7 linked regions of the Sus scrofa genome follow. The protein of the gene in region 5 purifies or fractionates together with the protein of the main gene of each other region. This does not show direct contact. Links are inferred from orthologs where the notes say so. Each region holds a gene or a part of one and is shown on either strand. Other genes may lie near its edges.

Region 1 (4,010 bases), on a different chromosome or scaffold from region 5:
AGGCAAAAGACTCTAGACTATAAATACTGCCAGGGTTTGTTTAGTTTTAGATTGACTTTTAAGAACCTTCACTTGCAACATTAAAGACATGGAAAGGACAGGACAAAAAGTCAGAAAGCCTGAGTTTTAACTCTAGTTCTATCAGAATTTGGATTTCTTCCTAAAATTGGGCAGGTGAAGCAGGCTCCTGAAAATAATGCAAATCAGCACTCATGCTCTAGACTGAAAAGGTTAATAATACAGAATTATAAAGGGGAAGCATTTATTTTTATTGCATCATTTAAAAAGTAACTAAACCACAAGTTTTCTTACTAAATTAAGATAAAATGCCAAGACATACCTAAGGGCCTAAAACAATACATAAGTACATAGCTGATCACTGTCTGCAGAAAGTAATATGCATTCACAGGAGTTCCCATCATCGCTCAGTGGTTAATGAATACGACTAGGAACCATGAGGTTGCCGGTTCAATCCATGGCCTCGCTCAGTGGGTTGAGGATCCCACATTGGCGGGAGCTTGGTGTAGGTCACAGACGCATCTCAGATCCCCTGTTGCTGTGGCTCTGGCATAGGCCGGCAGCTACAGCTCCAATTAGACCCCTAGCCTGGGAACCTCCATATGCGGCAGGAGAGGCCCTAGAAAAAGGCAAAAAAAAAAAAAAAAAAAAAAAAAAAAAAAAGTAATATATATTTCAGGGGCTAACTATTCATTCTAGAATAAGGTTTTTAATTCAAGTTCTTCCCAAACCCAAGTAATAGGATCCAAGTAACTACATACAGTATTGATACTTCGAGACTCATTTGCCACTTTTTCTTTCAGGGACATATTAACAGAAATACAACTTCGTGGAATCCAAAGCTGTGTTTTTTAAAGTTCAATTAACTTAATTCTCGAACGTGCTATAACTTCCTTATTTTAATTATCTTTTTCATGGAAAACTGACCTAAGCTAGAAATAAATTTTATTTAAAAACAAAAAGAATTTCCACATATGATTTAGCTCTAAAATCTTCAGCATAAATGTTGGGTTTTCATTTTGTTTATTTTTTAAGTTGAATATTCATTTGACACTGAGAACATATTCCTTTTCTACGGAAAGTGCAAGGCTTTCAAGTAATCAAACATTAACGAAGAATGTGGTTAAATCACAGCAGAAGTAGTAATAACAGGGTAATATAATGAGGTCACAACTGGAGCAACCAATCAAAGGCATTAAAGCATTTCCTGCAATATTAATAGTCATAAGAGAAAACCAATCACAGAAACCTTGGGCCTTCTTTTGACAGTCACAGAAGCAAGAGAACCAATCCACGCACACCCGAGGTTGACAATAAGGCGGGACCACAGGTTCATTGAAGAAATTCTTGAGGGTGCAGTTACTATGAACTTCGCACACAAGTAGCACCACTCGAGTCATAAACACTGTCAAGCCAGAGGAAATTCAACCATATCCAAAATTTAACGCATCAGGGAGAAAAAACATTTTTGCCCCAAATTGCTGCTATTAATAAAAATGCAGCTGTCAATATGGATGCAATAGGTCCTCAACTTCTAAAACACCCCCCCATGGCAATTTTTCAGGGACGCGGGGCGAGGACTGTGGAGCATCGGCAGCTAGTTGCCTAACATCGCCAGTCCCTTTCTAAAGCCTCACACTAAGCAGGCACCGTCCGGGCTAGGCAGGCAGAACCGACTCGCTCTGGGCCCGGAGCTAGCCGGTCAGCGGCTTCTAACGTTACATCCTCCTAGTGGTCGTGGCCCTCAGCCTCCCCGGCCGCAGTGCTGCACCACCTCAATCCTGCTGCACCAACGCGGGCCGGGGTGCGAGAATTACCTTGCTAAGAGGAAGACGATGTTTTGAAAGCGTTTTACTTTCCACAAGTCATTTCAAAAAGAACCCAATGCAAGGCTGAATCCAAAAGTGGGGGAAAAACGTTGCCTAGCCAAAGCATCCCCTGCGGATTAAATAATCCCACTCCAGGGGGACAAAAAAGGTAAACAGAGGCCGTACGTCAAGTGCGGCCAGAACATCCCCTGCGCCATTCCGGGCCGCCGCTTACGGCAAGGCCCCCTTACGGCAGCGTAAGCGGCGCTGCGAGCTAATCACAACACTGGGACGCAACAACATGGCGGCCGCGGGCGGGCGCTGCGCCGGCCGAGAGGGTTTACGCTACTCCGCCGGCGTAAGGTCCCAAGCGTTGGAGCGGCAGCGGCGCCCTCCAGCGAGCGTAAAGCGCTCTGTGAATGGCGAGGCCCGACTGACAAAGGGGAGGGGGGAGGAGGGAAGGGGGGGTAATAAACACTCGAGTCCCTACCGATTCCTCCTCCTTCTCCATCCCGGTGGGCATCTGGGGCACGGCCCGGTTGATGGAGACGCAGTCGTTGAGATCAGGCATGTCCTTGCCGCGGTAGATAGGCAGCGGTTTGGCGGCGTCCAGCGCCCGCGCTCGGAAGGAGAGTTTACTCATTGTCTCCCCGCCTTACAGGAACAGCCCGGGCGGCGGCGGCGGGGCGGGCGGGGAGGGGGGGAGGACTCCCGCCGCCTCCTCCACCACCTTCCTCAGTGCAGCGCGGCCGGCCCGCTCCTCCTCCTCCTCCTCACTGCCCCCGGCCACAGCATGGGCGCCCACCCCGCCCGAAAACAGCCCCCCGCCGCCCGCGGCCGCTTCCACACACTAGATCCGCCGCTCGCCCGCCCGATCCGCTCCCTGCGCCATGGCCAACATGGCGGACATTACCACAGCGGCGGCGAGCGATCCCGGCAGCCCGCGCGAGAGCGCGCCCCCGCCGCGGGAACGCGCCTCGCCCTCTCCCTCCCTCCCTCCTTCCCCTCCCTCGCCTGCCCACCCACTCTCTCCGCGGCGCTGCCGGCCCGCGGGAGCGTGCTCAGCCTCGGGCCGCTCCGGGTAGGGGGGCGGCAGCGGCCCTCTGCTCCGCTGCCGGCGCTCTAGCCGTGTGGCAGGTGTCAGGTGCGCAAGTTAACCCGCGCCCCCGAGCGTGCGCCTCTGCCTCCGCGGCCCCGACACCCAGCTAGTTGGGTGCCCCGGAGGACGGCGCCGGGCAAAACACAGCCGCGCTGAGCAGCCCGTGTGTGCAGAAGTCTGTGAGCGGGAAAGGGAAGATGTCAACCGAGCCACAGCTGCCCCACTGAGCCTGTACTTACACAGCACTTACCTCCACAGCGCCAGCTAATTCTCATCCTCCAAATCGCGCATCCCTGGGAGGTGCGAAAGGTCCATTCCTTCCGTCCGCTCCGAGGGGCGCAGACCTGTCGGGTCTCGTCTGCCCCGAGAACGCCTCCGCAATCCCGGCCCTCTTCCCGCATCTTTTTTTTTTTTTTTTTTTTTGGTACCTGGCCGAAAGAGCTCTCCAAGGTAAGGCATCCTCGCTTTCGCTGAGAGGATGCTAATGGCAGCAGTGAGGGTTAATGTTTGAGGCTGCCAGATGCAACAAGTGCACTTGAACCTGTCACCAAAACTTCAGAGTTATTTAATGGATGATATTTCTGATTTCAAAAATATTAAGCTTATAATTTTTAACCAAGGCAGAGAACATTTCCAGAGTGATAGATCCGTGTAAAATATTGGATGCTGTGGAAGATGCCAAGAGGTTTGAGGAAAAGTTCCTGTCCTCGTGCAGCTTTCACTTTGATGGGATGACAGAACGGTTAAAAAGATGAGTAACAGTAAGAGATGTAAATAGTTGAAGAACAGGGCAACTGAAAAGTAAATGACAGCCAAAAGAAAAAAAGTTTATAACTTGAAGAAAACTACATAGGCAATGACACAAGGCAGTAGAACATGCTTAATTACCAAATGAGTCATACAGGCCATAGTTGCCATGAGAGTTCAGAGAAAGGAGACTACTTTAGCCTGAACCGGTTAGAGAAAGTTCTAAAGAGGAGGTAAAATCCAGTTGACTCAAATTTATTTGGCAGCGATTGTTGATATCAACTTCATTTAGCCAAGAGTTCCTTAGTTAGACTTTAAGCATCACAGTTTTCCTACAA
Region 2 (3,500 bases), on a different chromosome or scaffold from region 5:
ATGACTTTCATCTTTTACTGTTAGAAATGAATATATAGGAGTTCCTGCTGTGGTGCAGCAGGTTTTAAGGATCCAGCATTGCCACATCTAGTGTAGGTTGCAGCTGCAGAGAGGATTCAATCCCTGACCTGAGAACTTCCATACGCTGCAGGTGCAGCCCCCACAAAAGAAAATAAATTAAAAAAAAGAAATTAATACATATTGCGATGTGAGAGTCTAATTTACTAACATGACTCCCCTATCAGTAAGTCATGATCAGAGATGGATTTTCAGTAAAGAAAGTCTCCCATTGAGAAACTTGCTATGAACAATAGCACATTTTTTAATATTGTTGACTCATGTTAGGAAAGAGAACATAACTAAGCCACACTAGCAGAGCAGCTCTACACACTAAAAACATTGCCTTAGCCAAAAAATGTACAGAATAGCGTATTTGTTTTTAACCCCCAAAACAATGCTCCTTTCAGGTCTCACAATAGTAATTCAAATGAATATAGAGTTGTTTGTTGAGATATTGGCAAGTATGAAAAAACCCACCCCCAAAAGCTATTAATTTTATTTGTAAAACATCATCAGAGATATAAAGTTTGAAAAATATAAAATACTCATAGTCTGTTCAAACTCACAGCCTATAATGCTTTCATAAAGAGAAAAGGGTTACTTACATTACACATGTAATTGTGCCAAGACCTGGTAACCTGTGGCAACTTCTCTTTTCTTTTCCAGTTTGCTGGAGATCCTTCTCGAACAGGTTCCTGAGTGCCAAGAGCACGTGCTTGGTTAAGAGTTCGAAATATGGACGTAGGGAGTTGGAGATAAATCCCAGAAATAAAATTCAATTATCACTTACTTTTGATGCAATCATATATGGAGGAATCAGTTCTATATTCATTTCTTGGAAGAGTTCTCTGCACTGCATTGTAATAAAGTCTCCAGCAAGAGGGGATTTCACAATGCCTATGAAACAGATTAAACAAGGCTAAGAAAGCATTAAATCCAAATTCCTTGGGACAAATTTCCCCTGTGTATTTATAAATGAGTAATTTCTTTCAAGTAGAATTAACACAACTACCCCTCAAAGCATGAATGAAGCAGTGCTGTCAGTTTTCAATATACACTATATACTAGAGGTTTTTTTAAAAAACACTCAAAAAAGATATTATTTGGAAACTGATAAACTTTGATAGTCCAATTCATTGCTTTATTTCATGACCTGCGTCCTCAGTGCACCCTGTTAAATACAGTTACCTTGCTGAAGGACATAGCCATCGTGAACTGGAATCGCAGTGGTATGAGTGGCTCCACTGTCCAAAATAAGCCCAGTAGAACGACCATTGGCAAATCTGGTTTACAGCATTAAGGAAATGAAAGTATCAAGTTTCTAAAATAATGTTTATTGTAAAGGGAAGGTTTTGTTAAGGCATTTTAAAAACATGTGCATTGTGACTTAAAATGTGTTAAAATATAGGGATGAAAGTTGGTATCTAATAACAACTCTGGTTTAAAAACAAATGACAACAGCAGGCTGGACTTCCAGAATGGTGGGGTGAGGAAGTCAGAGAAACATTTATTCCAGAGATGTCTATTAAGCTGGTCAAAATTAGCAGTTATTCAAAGTACCTGGCATAGATCAAAGGGCTTACAACAAACTTAACTGAGAAGCATTTAACAAAATCTAAAAGAACGTGGTAAGAACAGTGGAAGGCTGACACTTGAGCTAAGAACCAAAACCATTCTCACATGGGATTAATTAGAACCATTTCAGCAGAATGGCAGCTGAGTGGCAGCTATCCTCTCCCCCAACTCAATAGGAAGAGCACTTCCAGAAAGATTCAACAGCCAATGAATACAGCAGATTTCATTTATCCAATTTTCCACAGCTGCAGAGGCCTACATCACATTAACATCGTAAACCTACATTGAGAAGTAGAGCCATTCACTGGGTCATCAAATGTTTACTGAGCATCTATTATGTGCCTAGTGATGAGTCCAGTACTCACTAAAGAAGGGAAGGAAAAAGGAGGTCAGTCTCTCACTGGCATTACTTAAGCACAGAAGATACACAGAGCTGAACCAAAACTGTCTCTGCCCTGAAGGATATCCTCTTTAGTGAAGTAGAGATCAATAAAGCTATAAAAAGAACAGCTATAAAAAGATGCCCTAGAGAGTATAATGGAGACCACCTAACCAATCCCTGGGAAATCCAAATGTAAACTGGGGAAGGGGACATGGAGAAGAGTAGGAACACATGGTTAGACCAGGAGGCAAGACAGCATGGTGAGGTCAGGGAAGTGCAAAGTAGTTCAGGAGACTGAAAGATGGAAGGAAGGAAGGGAACAATGTGGAAGATAATTCTGGCTCAAAATAGCAGGCTGGCAATTAACAAAGATTATTAGAACTGCAGTGTAAAGAATGGGCAAGATAGGAAAGGCTGTGATAATTGGGAAATAGCTTGCACCTTATGCAGTGGCGGCTGACAGAAATAAATGAATTTGAGGGTTTGGACTTGGGTGGGATGGCTTGGAGAATACACAGGTTTTGATAACTACTAAATTTAAAGGACTAATGAGAAGGATTTCTGATCTGGATAACTGAGAGTAAGATGACACATGAAGGAGAAGGAATAAATTTGAGGGGAGGGAAGATAAATTCAACTTTGGACATAATGAATTTAAAGTGCTTAAACCAGATAACCAATAGAAAAAATTACAGTAGGCAGCTGGACATGGGCCTGGAGCTCACAAGAAAAATCTGGGATATGTACATGGATTGGGAATTTGTCAGTGTATAACTAGTATCTGAAGCCAAGGAAATGGATAGTTAAACCAGAAAGAACATATAGGGGTGGGGGGCAGTGGCGGTGGCTAAGGGCAGAAAATGAAGGCAGGAGCAGGAATGATCAGAGGAAAGAGATCTGAGAATAAATGGCCAGAAAGGTAATTTTATCTTAACTCATGGTTACCAAAGTAGACAGATGGGGGGATGAGAGGGAGATGGACTTGGGGTTTGGGATTGGCATATGCACATGAGGTTGATGGAATGACTGGCCAATGGGAACCTGCTGTACAGCACTGAAAACTCTACCCAATATTCTGTGATAATCTATGAGGGAACAGAATCTGAAAGAGAGTAGATGTATGTACATGTATAACTGAATCACTATGTTGTACAGCAGAAATTACCAGAACATTGTAAATCAACTATACTTAAACTTAAAAAATGACAAAACAAGATAATTTATCTTCACTATTAGTGGTACTCTACTGATCTCTGGTCAACTATATACGTAAACACTAATTTTATCTCTATTAGTACAAAGTGATACAGCTAATGCCGGACTAAAAAGCAGCAAAATGGTATGTAAGCCCTCCTATAGATAACAGTTATAAAATCTGGACAAATTATTTTAACTGACCATTTAAAGATACTTGAAAATATTCAAAAGTACCCAAAATTCAGGCAAAACTTATTCTCATGAAAATGAAACTGGAAGGGGTAAT
Region 3 (4,052 bases), on a different chromosome or scaffold from region 5:
TTACACCAGTGGTTCTCAACGCAGTAATTTTGCCCGCAGGAGACACTTGGCTATGTCTGGAGACATTTTTAGCTGTCTTGACTGGGTGGGGATCTAGTGGGTGGAGGCCAGGGACACTGCTAAACACTCCATGATGCCCTGGACAACACCCCCACAGCAAAGTGTTATGCCTTACACGGCAACAGGGTCGAGGAGAGAAAAAGACAATGGTTACCTTAGAAAAGTAAAGCTCAAACAGGCTTTTTCTCAGGGAGTCTGGTGAGCTCAAGCAAGGAGGGACTGCAGAGACAGAAGAGGCAGCAAGCTGTCATTTAAGAAAGAAGGGACCAAAGCCACAAGCCTGAGCTCAGTCAATGATCCTGTCAGCAGGTAAATGAAGCACAGCAACAAAAATGGCTAGTCACACATGCACCTCTGCTGCTTTTATTTTGTGGGTGGCACTGAGGGTGATCAGAAGGGGCCACAGGCCCAAGTACAAGTGAGGCCTGCCTAAGGCACTCAGAGGAAGAACCTCCAACCAAGACTTCAGTGACTGTGGACACAATTATCTTGACTGGACATAAAACTGTGTTAGAAGAATGCCTCCCTGGCACGCACAAACACATCCACTCCTGATTTAAATCTGCCAAAAGGATCAATTTGGGATGCAGAGCCTGCCTGGGTAGGTGTTTTGATCTATTTTGATTTGCGTTAGAAGCATTTCAGGAAAAAGACCAGATCTTCACCACCTTTCTAGCAATGAAGTACACGAGACACGCTGCCCGGCCTGCGTACCAGGGTGGGCTGTGCTAAGGTCAGATCATTCAAACCACGGCAGCCGCATACCTGGCTCGACAGAGGCGACTGTATGTTTAACTTGCCATTCTTGGGAATGTCTATTCTGTAGCCGAGAGGAAGGAAAGCGTTGAATCCGACAATGAGGTCAGGGTGTTCGTGGAATAGCTGTGACACTCGCCGGATGACTCCTGGAGTATCGATACTAGAACAAAGAAGAACAAGAGTGGGCAGAGGCGTCCTGGGGAGCAGATTAAAAGAGAAATCTACTCGTGACTCCCTTAACCGTGCCATGTCACAAGCTTCTCAACGGACAAAGAACCAACCACCCTAAAATGTGACTGGAGTGATTCTGCTGGTGGTGATCCGCTGCTAAGGCAGCCAGGCCTGGGCTCCCAGTGCCTTCCTGGCAAAATCCACAGAATATGTACACAGCACGGCTCCCAAAACACTGCAAGCACATGTGCTAGGTTCTGAAAATGTCAGGAGAGCCAATTTTAAATTGTGGGCTCCAAGAAGTGACATGTCAAAACCCTCTAAAGGGGAGATAAATTCCTCCATTTCGCATGAATTAGAGATGGACTATGACACTGGAGTTGTTCCCAGCAACTGACTATAATGCAAAGGCCATGCAAGTATGGAAGTGGCATAAGAATCGGAGGGCAGAGATGGGGTCTCCCTCAGGGCTGCAGTCAGGGCCAAGGCTTTAGCCTTGTGCCTGTGGAAGGCAACCAGGTGGGCCCTACCCTGTTTCCTTAGAGGGAGAAGCAGCACGGAGGGGATGTGACACTGGCGAATCTAAGTCAGACAGAACCAGTTCTGGTCCCGCCTCTGCCCCTAAGGTGGGTCTGGACAACCCCTTGACCCACTCTAAGCCTCAATGAGCATCCTTTCCAACAAGAGCACCATCGGGAGGGAGGTCTCCCATCTATCTCTAACCCTCCTGATTCAGTGCCTGTGAAAACAGCTAACATGTTTTAAATGCCTTCTTAGTGCCAGATTCCTTACTAAGCATTTTGTGCGCATTACTTCAAGTAGGCCTGGGACTGGAGTGAAGGGAGTGAGGAACTCACCTTGGGGATAAGATTTAAGAGGGACACAGTGCCAATACGGTCGATAACCAAAATTAATAACATTTTCATGCACTGCTTGATCAAAAGATAAAAATTAACTTTTAAAAAGCCTCGAAAAATGAAATTCACTTAAAAATCAACATTTTGAGTAAAGACGGGATCCTACCCTGTGTTTGCTCACTTGCCTCACCCCATCCCTGCCCTCGGTCCAGGAATCCCCACAACAGGGCCACGGCGGGGCGGGTGAAGGGGGGGGGGTCCCTCCCGGGGGGTCCCTCCCGTCCCAGTTTTTTTTTTTTTTTAAGAAGGAACTGAGGATCCGCTAAGTTCTGACCACCTGGGCAAGGTCACCCCGTCATGGGGCAGCCAGGGTAAGGGGCTCCCACCCAGCTCAGGCTGACTGCGGCCCAGGACGGTCCCCTGGGGTGGGCAGGGGCCCGGCAGGTACCTCTGGCTTTTGAATTCCTTCATGATCTCCAGGAAGCCGTTGTAAGTGGCAGGGTCGCTGCCGAAACGGATCTTCACCTGGTCCAGGTAGGTGAGGGCGTCCTCCACCTGCGGGGAGGGGAAAGTCCAGGTGGGCCGCGGTCTGCGGAGGAGGGGGCGGGGGACCCTGGCGGGAGGGGCAACCGGCTGGGCCTCAAGGAGCGGAGGTGGGGAGTCGGGGGTCTGGGGCTGCGCGGAGAGGAGGCCGAGGCGGGGCCGGGGCCGGGCGGGGCTTGGGTGGGGGGCGCCGGCCTGCGGGAACTGGACGACGGGGTGCTCGAGGGAGAGCTGGGGCGCCACTCACGTGCACTGGCAGCTTCTCATGGCCCGCAGAGCCCGAGCGACCCCAGCGGGCCCCGCTCAGCCCCCGGCCCGCTGGGCCGCCGCCGCCGCCACCGCCAGCGTGCGCCATGTTGGAAGTCGGAGCCACAGCCCGCCCCGCCCCCGCCCGGGGGCCGGCCGCGCATGCGCTGGCTCCGCCCTGAAGGCGGGGCTCTTTCAAGGACTCTGCGGTAGGATCTTACCCCATAAAACTGAAACGCGACTGTCCTGACATATACCACTGTGAGCAAACCAAAACCTGCCGCCTGCTTCTGTCTGGCCCCCAAAGCAAGATCGGAATAATTTTTACAATTTTAAAAGTTGGAAGAAAAATCCAAGGGAGAAGACTATTCCGTGACACGTGAAAATTCTATGAAATTTAAATTTCAGTGTCTGCAAAAATAAAGTTTTATTGGAACATAGGCATGCCCACTTGTTTACCTGTCATCTCTGGCTAATTTTGCAGTACAACAGCGGGGTGAATAACTGCGACAGACGCTAAGATCTACACAGCCTGATATATAATAAAATGTTCTTGACTCGTACTTGTAGGGTTGATGTGACAACCTGGTATGGGCACACAGCACCCTAGTTCAGGGCCACGGGGTTTGCCAAATTGCTCTTGACTTAGTCCTGTTCCTCCTCTCTTCGCTTCTCTAGTCCTGACCCCATGACTTCCCCACTGGAGCCTTTGGTTCCTGACCCTATCACTTCCCCACTGGACCCTCCCACTGGTTCGGGAGCCTCTTAACCAGTTTTTCCAGCCCCAGTGCTATCAAGAACTATCATTCCATAGCTGCTTCCAAACCTCCAAGGTCTTCCTATTTCTTTTTCTTTTTTTGTCTTTTGTCTTTTTAGGGCCGCACCCGCAGCATAGGGAGGTTCCCAGGCTAGGGGTCTAATTGGAGCTGCAGCTGCTGGCCTACGCCAGAGTCACAGCAATGCCAGATCCAAGCCGCGTCTGTGACCTACACCACAGCTCATGGCAACACCAGCTCCTTACCCACTGAGCAAGGCTAGGGATCAAACCCACAACCTCATGTTCGGATTCATTAACCACTGAGCCACAATGGGAACTCCAGTATCTTTTTTTTCAATGTGTGAAGAGGTGCAGGAAAGCTGAGAATACATTGGCAACAAGTGCATCATTTGCCAGGGGTCAGGAGTAGAAGGGTGAACAAAACCGACCAGGCTTTTACACTCACAGAGCCATCAGCCTTTCAAGAGGATTGGAATCAAATAATCACATACATAGATGTAAAGCTCACTTGTAACAAATACTTCAGAGAGAACATACAAATATAATAGTTATTGGGAATTCCTGTCATGGCACAGTGGAAATGAATCCAACTAGGAACCATGAGGTTTTGGGTTCGATCCCTGGCCTCACTCAGTGGG
Region 4 (4,168 bases), on a different chromosome or scaffold from region 5:
CCAGGTGAGAGAGAACTTAACTAGCATCCTGATGTATGTATACACACAGACACACACACAGACATATTTTTTGCTTTTTTAGGGCCACACCAGCGGCATATGGATCCCAGGCTAGGGACTGAATTGGAGCTACAGCTGCCAGCCTATGCCACAGCCACAGCCAGAGCAAGGCGGAATCCTTGCCCTCTGGGACCTATATACACCACAGCTCATGGCAATGCCAGATCCCGACCCACTGAGCGAGGCGGGGGATCAAACCCAGACGGATACTAGTTGGATCAGTTTCTGCTGGGCCACAACAGTAACTCCAGGATCCTGATAATTTGGATGTACAGGCATGAGTGGATTTATATTTATTATATATATGTGTGTGTGTGTATATGTATATATATATATATATATATATATATATAATGGATTTATTTTTAGATGACAGAATCTCCATACTTGACACTGGATTTTAAGTGGGGAGTGAAGGAGCAGGAATTAAGGATTACTTCTAGATTCTGGTTCAGGCAACTGAGTAGAAGGATGAAGACATGCATAGAAATCAGAAACACTGAAAAAACAGTGGGGACCTACAAGTTCAAGTTTTCTGAGTTCACCAAAGTGGAGCTGTCCATTACGTAGCTAGAAGTACTGGCTTGTAACTCAGGAGAGGAGTCCAGGCTGGAAATAAGAGATTTGGAAGTCATCACCATTTAGGTCCTGGGGGAGGCTTAGACTGAGCAGGGAGCATGAGAACAAGCCTCGGGAAGTAAGTCTTCCGATTGATGTTCAATACAAGAACTATCCTTTCACGGCGTCTTTAGTCTTTTCTGCGTCATTTTCCGGAATTTGGACTAAGTGGAGAGGGGCTCTGGCATAGAGGTTTTTTACAAGCAGGGCCGGAACAGCTGCCCTAGCTGTTAGAGCAAACTGAGAAAGTCTCAAGGTGCACTGCTACCAGAAGAGAGCGATTGCTGTTAAGACGATGTGGGGGTTATCAACGGTTGTAAAAGTAAGTTTCAAGAGCCGTTATTTCTTTGTGGTCGGAAATCAATTCTTAGACGGTAACGAAGGCCGGCCAGCCGGGAGATTGGGGGGATGGGCTGGACCCGAATTTGTTGCCATGGAGATGGGGCGGATTAAAGTGTCCGAGATTATTCGAAAGGGACACTAACAGTGAAAGGACCAAAAAAAAAAAAGAGAGAGAGAGAGACAGATGCTGGAGAAAGTAGTTATTTGGAATCATACACGGTAGGTGAAAGAGTCAGCACAGCAAAATCAGACGGCTCGCCCTGGGGACCACCTACACACAAAGGGGAACCGGGTTCCGCTCACCGGAAGCAGAACCTCTGCCCTTGGCGCATTACGCAGTCCCCGGCGCATTACGCAGCCCCCCGCGCCGGAAGAGCGCCCTGCTCGTTTGGTTGTTCCCCACCGCCCCAGTGGGAGGGGGCCACGGGGCCGCTAGACTGAGCCCTAGGAGACGTCGGCAGCGCGGACCTTCCGCGGTCGAAGAGCCAAGGAGCGACCTGTGTTGTCTGGAAAAAGAGAGAGAGGAAGGTCGCGCAACTGGGCACTGCTGCGGAGGGATCCTGTTTCTGGGTGGCGGAGGGATTTGGTCGTACGCTGACTTCCGGCGAGCCCCGACCTGAGAGGAAAAGCCCCGAAGGAAACAATAACAAACGTTGGAGGAAGCGGTTTAGGGTTTCTTGCGTTGAGCGGGTTTCGCCTGAGAAGATGAGCTTCGGCCCCTGTCAGCGGACGTGAGCGCCATCAGTGGGCCCACCCAAAGCTACTCTCTCTGCGCCGCGGGCCCCTGTGCGACCATGGCGGGCATTGGGCCGGGGGGCTACGCGGCGGAGTTTGTGCCGCCTCCGGAGTGCCCGGTCTTTGAACCCAGCTGGGAGGAGTTCACAGACCCGCTCAGCTTCATCGGCCGCATCCGGCCCCTGGCGGAGAAGACCGGCATCTGCAAAATCCGACCGCCCAAGGTACCGGAGTCTGATCGGGTTCGCTTGACTTCCCGGCCCTTCTGTCCTTTCACGTTCACTTGCCCTGGTTTCTCGACACCTGGACGCTGCGTTTTTGGATGTTTCTGCCTTGGTTTCTTTGGGGTCTCATGTAGGCACGTCCGGACGCGAGAGAGTGGTGCCCCTGGGGCCTTTCCGCCTAGAACTTGGGAACTGATACTTTCCTTCCTCTATTGGGTTGTGGGCAAGGGTAACAAAAGCTTTCGGTCTTTCGTTGGCCTGTAAGGTGTTTGAGTTACTGACACGACGTCTTTACACTCGCGTATAATTCTTATTAAGGTGTCACAGTAAAAACTGCTGTTCGATCGGTGGGCTGTTTCTTCAAGCCCTTTTGATGCTTGATTTATTAAGTATTTGGAGGCCTCATCTCAGGGCTGAGGTTTTTAAGATGGTAATGTAAACCTCTAGTTGTTCCCTTAGGATGGTTTCACCAAACAAGAACCCCAGAGTGATTACTGCTGCAATGAAAAGTCTTCTCGGGGGAGGAGCAGCAGCAGCATTTATTTTTAAAATCTAGAGGCTTAGAAAGGATTTGTCAAATGAGGTGGAAGAAAATGTCGAATCTTTTGCTGTAAGGAACCATGAATCAAAGATTTGCGAATCGCGATGATAGCAAATAACTGGGTTTGCCAGTGGATTAGTTATAATATCAATCTTTACGATGAAATTTAGTGCCCCAAGAGGTTGAATACTTGCTCAAGGTCAAAAGGTTTTTTTCTCTATTCGTCAGACCAGTGCTTTCCAAATGACATTCCTGGTTCACCTGCACCGGAGGCAGCCGGATGCTTGTTAAAATGCATATCTCTAGGCCTCATTCCCAGTCTAGAATCAGTTTCTGGATATGAAAGTTCTAGAAGCTGCTTTTCCAATAAGTACTCTCATGATGCTTAATGAACATTAAAGTGTGTGAACCCTACCCTTAGTGCTTCTTAAAGGAGTACCTTGCTTTATGTCCTGTCTACTAGCAATAAAAATAACATATTGTCCTTTTATCCATTGTATTTTAAAAAGCATCTGCTCTGGCCACAGGCTATCCCAGAGGTGTGTGCAGCACTGTGAGTAAAAAGAGCTTAGACCGTGGGGGGGGGGGGCTTGGGGAGAGGGGGAGCTAATTCAGCGTTTACAGATTATTTCATTTAATATTGTTTGAAGCTCCAGAAGGGAAACAAGGTCTCATTTTACAGATGAGGCAAATCTGCATAAGTTAAATAACTTAGATATGTGATCTTGGGCAGTGGCAAAGTAAGTTTTGAATCTAGATCAGTCTGTTTGTTTTTAAAACCCAGACAAGCTTCTCCCCTAGTTCTCAATGAATTTAAGATTATAGACTATCAGTTGGCAGAGAAGGTTGAACAAATAATTACTGTGATGAATGAGGATATATGTATTGTCATCCTCCAAAAGTTTAACTCTTTAAAATTTTTAATTGTCACTTAATACTTTTTCTGTAAAGATTACCTAATATTGACAAAACCTTAAGTACTGAAGTTTTTCCTAACCCATGTATTCATCTAGTGTATCGCCTTAATGAATAGAGACTGTTCATTTTTTTAAAATATAGCTGTATTACTTAAAAAAGACTGAAATAATATACCTTCTCTGTGTCATGTAATTGTTATTTAAAATAAATGTTTACAAACATTTCAGTATTTCAATATTAGGGGATTTCTTTAGTTTCCAAGGTAAGATAAAAAATTTTTTGACTACTTTTCACATTTTTAAATGCATTTACTATTATTTAGGCCAAATCAAACTATGTTGTCTGGAACTCTACTTGAAATGTGTTTTCTCATTTCATTTATAGCACATTTTTAATCTGGAAATTATCCTTGTTCTGTGGGTTTGCCTTTTTTTTTTTTTTTTTGAATATCTGGGTGCCCAGAAGCTGGGCTTTGGACAAAACATTTATATAACAGTCTTATAAAGTGCTGTGTCACATTGAACATGAATAAAAAACATTATCCAATTACATAAGTACTTTTTGAAAGTTAGTTTTGGGGCTTTAATTTTACCTGTTTTTGTTTCTTTCAAATTTTGTTTTCCTTGTAATTTGATAAACTTGGATGTTTATTAGACACAGTATTGAGACACCTGAAGTTGTTGCATCCCACTTGAGTAACTAGGGAAGGTGTAACTGGGATGTAAATAAT
Region 5 (4,132 bases):
ATTTACCCTGATTTCTGATAAACTAGTTTGTTTTTGCCTTTAAAAAATTTTAATTAAGGATAATTGCAAATGGATAAAAATGTAGAGGGAATAATATTATAAGCCTATGCGAATCTATCCTCCAGCTTCAACAATTACCAACTGAAGGCCATCTTGTTTTATCTATAACCCCACCCACTGCTCCCCCCCCACTCCGTTTTTTTCAAGCTCAGTGAATAGCTGACTTTCTGTATTTTATTATGGAAAATTTCAAACATATACCAAGAAAGCCAGTATAATTTAAGAAATCATATATGCCCATCACTCAGCTTAAACGATTAACTTAGGGCCAATTTGGTTTCATCTATACCCCTCCCCACGTCCCCCTACCGCTGAGATTATTTTGAAGCAAATCATAGATATCAACATATTTTGAAGCCAATCTCAGACATTTTACTATTTAATCCGTATTTTCATATATATTGCTACAAGCTAAAGACAATTTGAAACCATAACCACAATACCATTTTAACGTCTAAAACATCGTCATCAATTTCCCCCAAAAAATCGAATTTGAATACGACTTCAAAATATCCCGATGCATCTTAAACAGTTTTTTAAAAAAATATAGTTAATGTGTCCGAATCAGGATCCAAACAAGGCCTACTCATCGCATGTGGTTCATCTCCAGCTCGCTCATTCTCCATCTCTCCCCACCCCCATCCCCCCCGCCGCTTTTTTTTTAAACTTTTCAATATGGAAAATTCCAATCCCCGCTATTTTGAGGCAATTCCCAAATAAACTATTCCATCGGTAAAAACTGATACGTCTCTTTTATATCTCGAATTTCTTCTAGGGGAGGAGATGATGGGCAGGAAAAACACTATAATGAACGACTTTACATAATTTATGTTTTCTTTCTCTATTACGCGTTTTTTTCTCTCCATAATAACAGCTAATATCTTCCGGAGTCAGGCTTCATATTAAGTTATTAAGCGTATTATATTATATTACTTTGCATTCGTTAGTTATACGCACTAATATACAGCACACGCCTCTGAGGCACACGTCTCTGAGGTAGATACTATTATTATCACCATTTTACAAACATGGAAACCGAGACACAGAAAGAACGGGAGCCAGCCCAAGCTGGGCGTTGGCGAGTAGGCATTTGAATCTAGCTCTGCCTGATTGTGAAGCCATCAGTTAATCTTGTCTATATACGCAACGATAAGAGGAAATCGGCAACCCTTTCTCCCCACCCCCACCCCGAAACCTGAAACGAGAATCCAGTTCTTTCCAGCAGCCGACGTGTGATCACTGCCGACCCTCCAACCGCCATAGTAAAGCCAGGTTTCTCTGGCAACTGATATCCATAGGCAGACACGTCACCCTGGAGGCGGGCTTACGCCCTCTAGCCAATCACAATCGTCTTGCCTAAGTTTTAGAATGTTCCATAACCAAATGATTGGTGGAAGCCCACCACGTCAGCAATGACACTTAGCCGCAGTAAAGGCGGGTGCTAGCAACCTGCTTCTTCACGGTTAAGACTTGAGGAAAACCAATCACCTTCCTCCTTTAGTGCGGACTGTGGCCAATGACGTTCGCCCTCTTAGGTTCTTAGCCCGCCCCCCAAAAGCGCGACAGCAGTTGGGTCATAAGTCTATAGGGCAGGGTGTTCACGTGGCCTATTTTCACGACCCAGAGTTCCTCTGACCAGAGGTTTTTTCTTTTTTTTTTTTTCTTTCTTTCTTTTTTTTTTTTTTTTTTCCTGCAGGGAGGCATTATGGGTTTTTTTTCCACTGGGAAAGGAAGTGTCTACGTGGCCTGCGGAAACAGGATGGGCGGAAATGAGCTAAAGTTCCCGCGAGTGGGGAAGCGCGAGGTCAAATCTGGGGCCACGCCCCCAACCTCTTGCGCAACTCTTGGAGAAAAAAAAAAAGGCAGAGTGGGGTTTCGGTGTGTATGCTGGTGGCGGGTGGCGGCGTGCTGCGGCCGTGTGGTGTCAGGGCCACGGCGTTTGTGCGCAGGCGAGCCCGCGTGGCCTTGGGGATGGCTTATGCGCGAACGCCAGGCCTCGTGGCGTTGGAGGCGGGTGTGCGCAGGCGTGCGCCCCTAGCGTTGGGGCCGTTGTGTGTCGCCGAGCGGGTGCGTGCGCCTTCGTGTGTGTGTGTGTGTGTGTGTGTGAGTGTGTGTACACGCGCGCGCACGGATGTGTGCGGGGGCGCGCGCTCTGTAAGAATCGTTTTCTACTTTCGTAGGTTTGAATATTGTTCTGATGAAAAGGAAAATCATTAAATAGTTAAGGCAAGGCGACCGTAACTAAGATAAAGGGTCTTTGCTAGGGATATTTCGATCTCTCATCGATTTAATTTTAAACCCTAAAATTACACTTTCTTCCCACGTTTTTTTCCGTGTCAAAATCCTGTATTAAACCCTAGCCCTCCAGTGGTTAAAAGCCGAACCTTCCCGTTCCTATATTAGCAATTCCACGAAACAGTTTCTTTCCTGTTCCCTAATAACCTTCTCCCCACCTCTTACCCGCTCCCTCCCCTCCCCCCTTCCCCAAGTTTTGTACAATTCTCTTGGCACAAACAATTTTCTGCAGAGAATATCTATATACAACAGACTTCCCCTCCACTAGGGACTCCCAATTTCTGTAGGAGTTGAGGCTCTCTTACCTTTCACTCCTGATCTCCAAGCAGTGTGCTCTTCAGGCAAGTACGCGCTCAGTTAATTTTCCAGAAAGTTCTCTGGATGAGGTTTATACCTTTTGCATCTGCCACTAGATGCCGCCAAATTCCATCAAAGGATTGGCTGTTTGGTCCCTGGAATTATGGGATTCCCCCCCCCTTTCTGATTTGCTGAACTCTTCAATCTATAGAAATCACTCATATATATTTCATTGCTGGGGAAAAATCAATTTAATTTCTGTTAATTGCTCTATCAGGAGACTATGGCCCTAGATACAAATGTTTTACCTCATTTCCTTATTAAAAAAAATCACCCCTCCCATTCTTCTTTCTTTCTTGCCTTTTTTTTTTTTTGCCAGGGGTGGGCAGTCAGAACTGATGAAAGACTTGAGGTACTGGTGCTGATGAAGATTGGAAGCGTCTCTGGGGTTAGGATCTTCACTTCAAGTGCTTCCCTCACCCTTACCCACCCCCACCCCAAGTGAAAATATAGATGGCTTGTTTAGTTAGTAAAGACATACATCTTTACTGGACTTGGACCCAATTACTGAAAACTGATTTTCTTTTCCTCTTGAAATTATGATTAGGTATGTGTTTCTACCCTGTTTTCTGTAGTGGTACTGGTAAACCGTATTATGTTTTTGGAGTCAAAGACCTGATTTTAAACCTTACTCCACCATTTACTAGTTCTGAGGCCCTGGGATTTATATGCTGTGCTTTCAGGTTTTTTTTTGCATGCCTTCTGTGTTTTAGGTAGTGTTACCATATTCTTCACACAGATATTCTTTTCTTCTTCACAAAATCCTTATTAGATGGATACTAATCAAAATCAAACAAAAGTTGTACCTCTTTCAGTTATAGATCCTATACATGTGTGCATGCACGCAGGTATGCGCTCATAAATACGCACACATACACCCCCCCCCCCCCCCGGGGAATGGGTGAGGTTTAGAGCAGAGGTTCTCAAAGTGTGTTTCCCAGACTCACCGGTAGCATCATTATCACCTTTTGGGAAGTTGTCAGAAATTTATAGTCTCAGGCCTCACCTCCAACCTAACCAGTCAGAAATTCTAGGAGTAGGGTTTGGCTTTCTGTGTTACGACAGATAACAAACTGTTCTGGTTATTCCAGCGCACACCGAAGTTAAAAAGCACTGCTTTGAAGAGCAGAAATAAAATGCTTATTTTTGTACACTCCACTAGAGGGTGCTGCAGAATGTAAAGCCAAAAAAAAAAAAAAAAAAAAAAAAAAAAGTACATGTTCTATTGAGACACCCTGCATGTTCTCTGTCCCGTTTCACAGATTAAAAATTATTGTGTAGCAGAGTCAATTATTTTCTCAAGTGCATACAGAAGTACAGGAACCAGGATTGAACTTTACCTGCCCCTTGAACTCAAGCCCTTGCCAGTACTCTGTTATTCAGCCAAAACAGCTTGTCTTTCAGGGTCTCAAAATACATT
Region 6 (3,500 bases), on a different chromosome or scaffold from region 5:
GCGGTGGCTCGAGGCAGTCCATGTGGAACAGGAGGGGGCAATAGTCACACTGGATAAGAGGGGCCACACGACAACTCCTGCAAAAAAGACATGTCGGCCATTTCTATGGTAAGGTGGGAGAATTCCACCAGACTCTACCCTGTGGAACAGCTTCCCTCTCTCAATGCTAGCAATGTTCTCCCATATTCTCCTTCGCAATGATCGTTACAGTCACTATTAGGAAGACGGATGAAGCTGGGGGCTTCCACCAGGCTCCTCGTTATTCTCTCTTCTAAGAGGAATGTGTCTTACAGAGAAGAGAATGTTTGTTTGGAGTTTGGCTAAAGCGGCTGTCAGAGCAGGAGCGATCAAGGCTCAGTACCCACTGGGGGAAGACAGTCAACCCTGCTCTGTTCTTTCTACGCCTTTAAAGAAAGCAAAGACTTCATTAAAAAAAAAAGAAAATCATTAGCAACCTTTCTCGAGTCTAGTACTACAACAAGTAAAGATTTCTCTTCTGCAATGAAGGACTCAGCAAAACTGATAACCAAAAAGGTTGATTTTGAAAATGATTTTGTAACGCATTTATGTAATCACAGTTCAAGGGAGGGGGTGTAAGCCAATGCCAATTATGGTTTGTAACTACCACACCTGAGCTGTGCAGGTGCAATGGAGGCACAGTCTGGGCCCAGCTTAGAGTCCTGCTGCTCTGCGGTCTAATTCCCAACAGCTTTGGCTGTGGAACATTTCTTTTGATAGCTTTTTTCTCCTGCTATCCTTCCCTTCTAATACACCCAAGCCAACAAGTTCAGCTCCCGTAACTGAAGCAGCTGGTTCCTGTCACTGAGGAGAACCTATTTGAAGGAAACCAGTATCCCAGGGAAGCTACAACTGGGGCAGCCTAGAGGCTGTTGGAAGTCATCCAGTCTAGATACATACTAGCCACTATGATACCTGTACTTCGTTCATTCATTTGTTTATTTATTGGCCATGCCCATGGCATACGAAGTTCCCAGGCTAGGGAGCAAACCCACGCCACAGCAGTGGCCCAAGCTGCTGTAGTACAACGCCAGATCCTGAACCCGCTGCATCACAAGGGAACTCCTACACTACTTTTAAACTTACTTTCAGTGCTTTAAAAATTATTTGCCTTTTCCAGGGATGTATGTCTCTGCTGGCCAGAGTTCTTCCTGTCGGCTAGTCTAAATATCTCATGCTTCAATTTAAGTTCAACTCCTCTCATTCTAGCCTCTATAAACACAATTTACAGGAATTCCTTTTCGGCACAGCGGGTTAAAGGATCTGGTGTAGTCAATGCAGTGGCTTCGGTCACTGCTGTGGAGGGGATTCAATCCCTGGCCTGGAAACCTCCACATGCTGTGGCCAAAACAGAACAAATATCACAGTTTACAGTACTTGTGCATCATGATTCTTCACCTAAGTTGTAAAACATTCAAGACTGGTCAATTAGTCACAGTCTCTGTCCTTATACCATCAGAATATAGATGATGTACATTTAACATACATGATTTAGAAGAGGTAATAGGAGAACACACATTTGCTGAATACGAGGAAAAGTCCCTCGAGTATGGAAGAAAAATACCTGTTACACGTGAAGCAGACTTTGACTGGTAAGGGAACAAGACCATTGTGATCTAACTCATGCTGTGTCTTCTTAACATTTTTCCCTGTGGTTTCCTCCTTTCTTCTCCTTTTACTAGAACCTAGAAGAGAAATTGGTGGTGCTGAACTTTCCTTGGATGCAGACTTCCTAATCTGGGATATGGAAATGACACTAAGTCAGAGGAACAGATCTTAGTAAAAGCACATGTCATGGGCTAGACTTGGATCTCTTTCTGAGGCCTCCTGGGCTGCTTTCAAAAAGGAAAAAAAAAGAATGAGGGGAGTTCCCGTCGTGGCTCAGTGGTTAACCATCTGACTAGGAACCATGAGGTTGTGGGTTCGATCCCGGGCCTTGCTCAGTGAGTTAAGGAGCCGGTGTTGCCGTGAGCTGTGGCGTACGTTGCAGACGCAGCTCGGATCTGGTGTTGCTGTGGCTCTGGTGTAGTCTGGTGGCTACAGCTCCAATTTGACCCCTAGCCTGGGAACCTCCATATGCCATAGGAGCGGCCCAAGAAATGGCAAAAAAAACCCCAAAAAACCAAAAAGGAAAAAAAAAAGAATGAGAAAGGAGGAAAAGAAGACGTAAGTCAGAACCACGATTGCAAGTCACTTGCTCTGTGGCAGAAACACATCTAAATGTTTTGAAAACATGAAGTGGTCAGAAGCCTTGGTTAGATATTGGCAACCTAAGAAATATAAATGCTCAAGTCAAATGGTCAACAAAAGACTATTCTATGGAGGCAGTTGAGGAAAAGACTATAATTTTACTACATTTTTATAGAAAGCAGAAAAGCTGTGATACTATATGCACCAGTAGGTTTCTTAAACCTGCCAATTTCACTTCCTCTGGGAAGAAGAAAATAAGATCTAAATGCTTCATGATATCAAGTAGAAGCCATGACTTGATTTAAAAACAAAAAAACAAAAACAAAAAAACAACAAAAAAAGGAGTTCCTGTCATGGTGCAGCAGAAACAAATCTGACTAGGAACCATGAGGTTACAGGTTCAATTTCTGGCCTCACTCAGTGGGTTATGGGTCTGGCATTGCCATGAGCTGTGGTGTAGGTCACAGATGCAGATGCAGCTTGGATCTGGTGTTGCTGTGGCTCTGGTGTAGGCCGGCAGCAACAGCTCCAATTCTACCCCTAGCTTGGGAACCTCCATATGCCGAGGGTGTGGCCATAACAGGACAAAAGACAAAAGACAGAAGACTTAAAAAAAAAAAGGAGGAGTTCCCTTTGTGGCTCAGGGGAAATGAACCTGACTATTATCCACAACGACACTGGTTCGATCCCTGGCCTTGCTCAGTGGGTTAAAGATCCAGCGTTGCCATGAGCTGTGGTGTAGATCACAGATGTGGCCTGGGTTTGGCATTGCTGTAGCTAGGCTGGCAGCTGTAGCTCTGAATCAACACCTAGCCTGGGAACCTCCACATACTGGGGGTGCAGCCCTAAAAAGACAAAACAAAACAAAACAAAAAGGAGGGCAATTTCATAATATCCATTAAAACTATAAATGCATACTTTAAAAAAATATAAATGCAGAGTTTTGATCCAGCAATTCTAATGCTGGTAATATATCCTACAGATACACTCACATGTACACAATGATGCATTTACAAAACTATTTGTTGAAACACTAGCTACAGTAACAAAAGATTAAGAACAACCTGAATGTCCACTAATAGGAAATTAGTTAAATAAATTATGGGATATCTATACAATGGGCTACTATGCAATCATTAAGAAAAACTGAGGGATGTCAACATTAATATGGAAAGACCTCTCTAGCAAGTATGCTATCTAAGTGGAAAATAATGAACATATATCTGTATTTGCTAATATATGCACAAAGATATTCTAGGAGATACAAGAACCAAACAGTGGTCATCTATGAG
Region 7 (3,500 bases), about 71 Mb from region 5:
CCTGGTGTCCCATCTACAACACAGGGGTACAAGGCACACAGGACACAAGCAGGCCACTCCACCCCGCCCCGCCTCTCTCCCGCGCCCCCGTCAGCAGCGTCTACACCACTGCTCTCCGCACACTCGCCTCTTCAGAGACCCCAAGCACGCAGAGTCCAACCCAAGGGGTAGGCTCTAAACCTACAGCAAACAAACCCCGGCCACTGCGGCTTTCTCCTTCAGGTCCCCCCTGGACTTCCAAGTATTCCCAGCATCCGCAATATACTACGCTGAAAACAAGGTAACCATTTGATACCTAAAACCTAGCTGGCCTTCTCAAATTTCAGTATTTTGTCTTGCTTGCCTCCGACATGAGTTCATGAAATAAAAAGCATGTCAGGCAGCTGAATGAAGGCAGCCCTGGGGCCGGGCCTTGACACAATCACTCTTCTCCCTCGGCTTCAAAGGAAGCCACCTTGATCCCACCTGTGATATATATATACCACTGCCCCAAGCGGCCTTCCTCATGTTTACAGACCTGTTCTCCTTTCTTTTTCGAAATACAAAGTTGTGTTCAATCATACAGAACAGTAATTTGAATTTTAAAAGCCCATACCTACTGGCAGTTTATCATTCTATCAATTGGACCTCACTAAAGCTGGGTTTTGTCTTTTTTTGCAGGCCATATATAAATTAAAAAAAGAAAAACCAACCAACCAACCACAGGCCAGCACAATCACTGACGGTCATTCAGGACATCCCATAATGAGACCCCACTGAATTTTCCACCTTACATCATAAGTTTCTGATCATCAGCAACAGATCCAAACAATGACTCATGCAGCAGGTGCCAGGCCACATCCTCTACAACAGCCGAGTGGCCAGTAAAAATCGCTTTAGCATCCACAATTTTGCCTTCCTTTGGTCCTGCATTGATATCCCACAGACAGACAGTCTGAAGAAGGAACAAACAAGAGTTATAAGGGACTGAGTTTATTTACTTATTCTTTTTAGGGCTGCACCCATGGCATTTGGAAGCTCCCAGGTTAGGGGTCAAATCGGAGCTGTAGCTGCTGGCCTACACCACAGCCACAGCAACACCGGATCCTTTAACCCAGGGAGCAAGTCCAGGGATTGAACCTGCATCCTCATGTATACTTCATTGTCTTTTTTTTTTTTTTTTTAGGGCTGCACCTGTGGCATATGGAGGTTCCCAGGTTAGGGGTCAAATCAGAGCTGCAGCTGCTGGCCTACATCACAGCCACAGCAAGGCCAGATCCAAGCAGCATCTGAGACCTACACCAAGGCTTATGGCAACGCCAGACCCTTAACCTACTGAGGGGAGGCCAGGGATCAAACCCGAAACCTCATGGTTCCTAGTCGGATTCGTTTCCTCTGCACCACGACAGCAACTCCTAGCTTCCTCTCTTTTTAAAATCACTTTTTTACATGAAAATGTTACATAATACATGTGGCCCTTAGTCTCTGCTGATACTTAGACATGCAGATGCACAATTTACACGCATGTAACTCTTGCCCTCACCTGGCTCCTCATCTCAAAAGGATCCTGGGAACATTAACAAGATGCCTCGCATATGGGGAGCCCTTGGGAAATGTCAGCTATTAGTTAAGACTGGCAACTCACTGCGTGGTGTGTTCAAAAAGTACTAGCAATGAAGTTCCCGAGCATATAAGCGATTCTCTCGGTTTGGGAGACTCTCCTAGGTCCACTTTGAGGGAAACAAATGAAAGCTTCCTTTCAGGGAACTGAGGGAGACCCTTGAAGCATGGCTGCAAAGACATGGCAAGCTACCAGTGCACCAAGTCTGTGAACTGTGAACAGCACCAAAGGAGAATCTGTTCTGATGACAGGTGCCGGGGGTGTGTTTTACATCCATCCACTTTCCAGGGGTGGTACGAGTGACATCCTCACTGGCCTGATTTGGGTCAGCGATCTGGCCTCTCCTCTTTTCAGGTCACTTTCTAGCCAACGGAGCAATCGTGTGAGCGACCCACCCAATGCCCTTCCAATAAATTCCTTTTCTATTTAAATCAGCCAGTGTTGTTTTCGCAACCACTAAGGAAAATAGTTTTGGAGGTTCCTCGAAAAGTAAAAAAATAGAACTATCCTATGATCCAGAAATCCCCCTTGGGGATATATGCACCCCCATGTTCACTTCCGCACTATTTACTCACAAAGCTCATCAAGAACAAACTGGTGGTTGCCAGGGGTGGAGGGTAGGAGAAATGTGTTAAACAGGTATACATTTTTAAAAAATAAAGAGACTTAAAAAAGAGTCACTCAGAAAATTCACCTGAAGAGTAGTCTTAAAAAGAAAAAATGCGAGAATTTAAAACAAACAAGTAGAGAAAAATTATTATTATTTTGCTTTTCAGGGCTGTACCTGCAGCATATGGAAGTTTCCAGGCTAGGGGTCGAATCGGAGCCATAGCCACCACCTTACGCCAGAGCCATAGCAATGCCGGATCCGAGCCACGTCTGCGACCTACACTACAGCTCACGGCAACGCCAGATCCCCAACCCACTGAGCAAGGTCAGGGATGGAACCTGCAACCTGATGGTTCCTAGTCAGATTCATTTCTGCTGCGCCACGACGGGAACTCCGAGAAAAAAATTTTTTTTTTTTTTTTGGTCTTTTTGCCTTTCCTAGGGCCACTCCCACGGCATATGGAGGTTCCCAGGCTGGGGGTCTCATTGGAGCTATAGCTGCCGGCCTACGCCAGAGCCACAGCAACGCCAAATCTGAGCCACGTCTGCGACCTACACCACAGCTCACGGCAACGCCGGATCCTTAACCCACTGAGCGAGGCCAGGGACCGAACCCACAACCTCATGGTTCCTAGTGGGATTCGTTAACCACTGCGCCACGACGGGAACTCCGAAAAATTATTTTTCAAAAAAAGCAGCCAGAATTGGGTTTGGTTGCTTATAACTAAATAATCTTGACTGGGCCAATTACCTACTTTCAGTATTTCACAAATCTTAACACAAATGCAATTAACAAGTCATTAAAGAAGGGCTGCTTTCAAAAGCTCCAGAAGTCTCCTCTCGGCTTGTGCTTGGGGTCACACCACACACTTTTGGCTTACGGTATGTGAACCACAAGAGAAAACACGCAGCTGTTTGTGCCAAGAATGCTACCACCGTTCATCTATGATAAATTAACAAGGTCCCTGTGTTTTAATGCTAATACACTTAACATGAAGGATGCCAAGACAACTCAATAGGCAAAAATGAGTCTTCTCCCTTTTTCTGGCCACACCTGTGGCATGTGCAAGTTCCCAGGCCAGAGGTCAAATGAACCTCTGCTGTAGTTGCAGCCTGCACTACAGCTGCAGCAATGCTAGATCCTGAACCCACTGCACCACGAAGAAACTTCCAAGATTAGTCTTTGTAACAAACCGTGCTCAGGAAACTGAATATCCACATGCACAGAATGAAGCTGGACCCCTACCTCATATCTATCAAAATGGATCAAAGACCTAAATATAAAAGATAA

What was found.
Region 1: the proteins of MORF4L2 (region 5) and EPC2 purify together in Homo sapiens (affinity purification with mass spectrometry; 5 studies listed by BioGRID and IntAct, counting the BioPlex papers as one, with this or other methods). This does not show direct contact. The link is inferred for Sus scrofa from reciprocal best matches to the Homo sapiens genes MORF4L2 and EPC2.
Region 2: the proteins of MORF4L2 (region 5) and ACTL6A purify together in Homo sapiens (affinity purification with mass spectrometry; 5 studies listed by BioGRID and IntAct, with this or other methods). This does not show direct contact. The link is inferred for Sus scrofa from reciprocal best matches to the Homo sapiens genes MORF4L2 and ACTL6A.
Region 3: the proteins of MORF4L2 (region 5) and SIN3B purify together in Homo sapiens (affinity purification with mass spectrometry; 5 studies listed by BioGRID and IntAct, with this or other methods). This does not show direct contact. The link is inferred for Sus scrofa from reciprocal best matches to the Homo sapiens genes MORF4L2 and SIN3B.
Region 4: the proteins of MORF4L2 (region 5) and KDM5A purify together in Homo sapiens (affinity purification with mass spectrometry; 4 studies listed by BioGRID and IntAct, with this or other methods). This does not show direct contact. The link is inferred for Sus scrofa from reciprocal best matches to the Homo sapiens genes MORF4L2 and KDM5A.
Region 6: the proteins of MORF4L2 (region 5) and PHF12 purify together in Homo sapiens (affinity purification with mass spectrometry; 9 studies listed by BioGRID and IntAct, counting the BioPlex papers as one, with this or other methods). This does not show direct contact. The link is inferred for Sus scrofa from reciprocal best matches to the Homo sapiens genes MORF4L2 and PHF12.
Region 7: the proteins of MORF4L2 (region 5) and RBBP7 purify together in Homo sapiens (affinity purification with mass spectrometry, with the first as the bait; 3 studies listed by BioGRID). This does not show direct contact. The link is inferred for Sus scrofa from reciprocal best matches to the Homo sapiens genes MORF4L2 and RBBP7.

Annotation. Positions count from the first base shown.
Region 1 is NC_010457.5:3,523,424-3,527,433, forward strand, and holds the start of EPC2 (enhancer of polycomb homolog 2), read right to left. Parts: upstream 2,801-4,010; 5' UTR 2,470-2,800; coding exon 2,317-2,469; intron 2,227-2,316; exon of another isoform or gene 1,836-2,226; intron 1-1,835. UniProt on the Homo sapiens protein: May play a role in transcription or DNA repair.
Region 2 is NC_010455.5:117,615,415-117,618,914, reverse strand, and holds part of ACTL6A (actin-like protein 6A), read right to left. Parts: intron 1,344-3,500; coding exon 1,249-1,343; intron 958-1,248; coding exon 851-957; intron 756-850; coding exon 666-755; intron 1-665.
Region 3 is NC_010444.4:60,788,861-60,792,912, forward strand, and holds the start of SIN3B (paired amphipathic helix protein Sin3b), read right to left. Parts: upstream 2,801-4,052; 5' UTR 2,746-2,800; coding exon 2,638-2,745; intron 2,403-2,637; coding exon 2,296-2,402; intron 980-2,295; coding exon 826-979; intron 280-825; exon of another isoform or gene 215-279; intron 1-214.
Region 4 is NC_010447.5:67,713,344-67,717,511, reverse strand, and holds the start of KDM5A (lysine-specific demethylase 5A), read left to right. Parts: upstream 1-1,368; 5' UTR 1,369-1,814; coding exon 1,815-1,979; intron 1,980-4,168. UniProt on the Homo sapiens protein: Histone demethylase that specifically demethylates 'Lys-4' of histone H3, thereby playing a central role in histone code. Does not demethylate histone H3 'Lys-9', H3 'Lys-27', H3 'Lys-36', H3 'Lys-79' or H4 'Lys-20'.
Region 5 is NC_010461.5:84,563,505-84,567,636, forward strand, and holds the start of MORF4L2 (mortality factor 4-like protein 2), read right to left. Parts: upstream 2,801-4,132; 5' UTR 2,661-2,800; intron 1,537-2,660; exon of another isoform or gene 1,256-1,536; intron 1-1,255. UniProt on the Homo sapiens protein: Component of the NuA4 histone acetyltransferase complex which is involved in transcriptional activation of select genes principally by acetylation of nucleosomal histone H4 and H2A.
Region 6 is NC_010454.4:45,143,756-45,147,255, forward strand, and holds part of PHF12 (PHD finger protein 12), read right to left. Parts: intron 1,704-3,500; coding exon 1,583-1,703; intron 78-1,582; coding exon 1-77.
Region 7 is NC_010461.5:13,299,521-13,303,020, forward strand, and holds part of RBBP7 (histone-binding protein RBBP7), read right to left. Parts: intron 935-3,500; coding exon 774-934; exon of another isoform or gene 14-773; coding exon 1-13. UniProt on the Homo sapiens protein: Core histone-binding subunit that may target chromatin remodeling factors, histone acetyltransferases and histone deacetylases to their histone substrates in a manner that is regulated by nucleosomal DNA.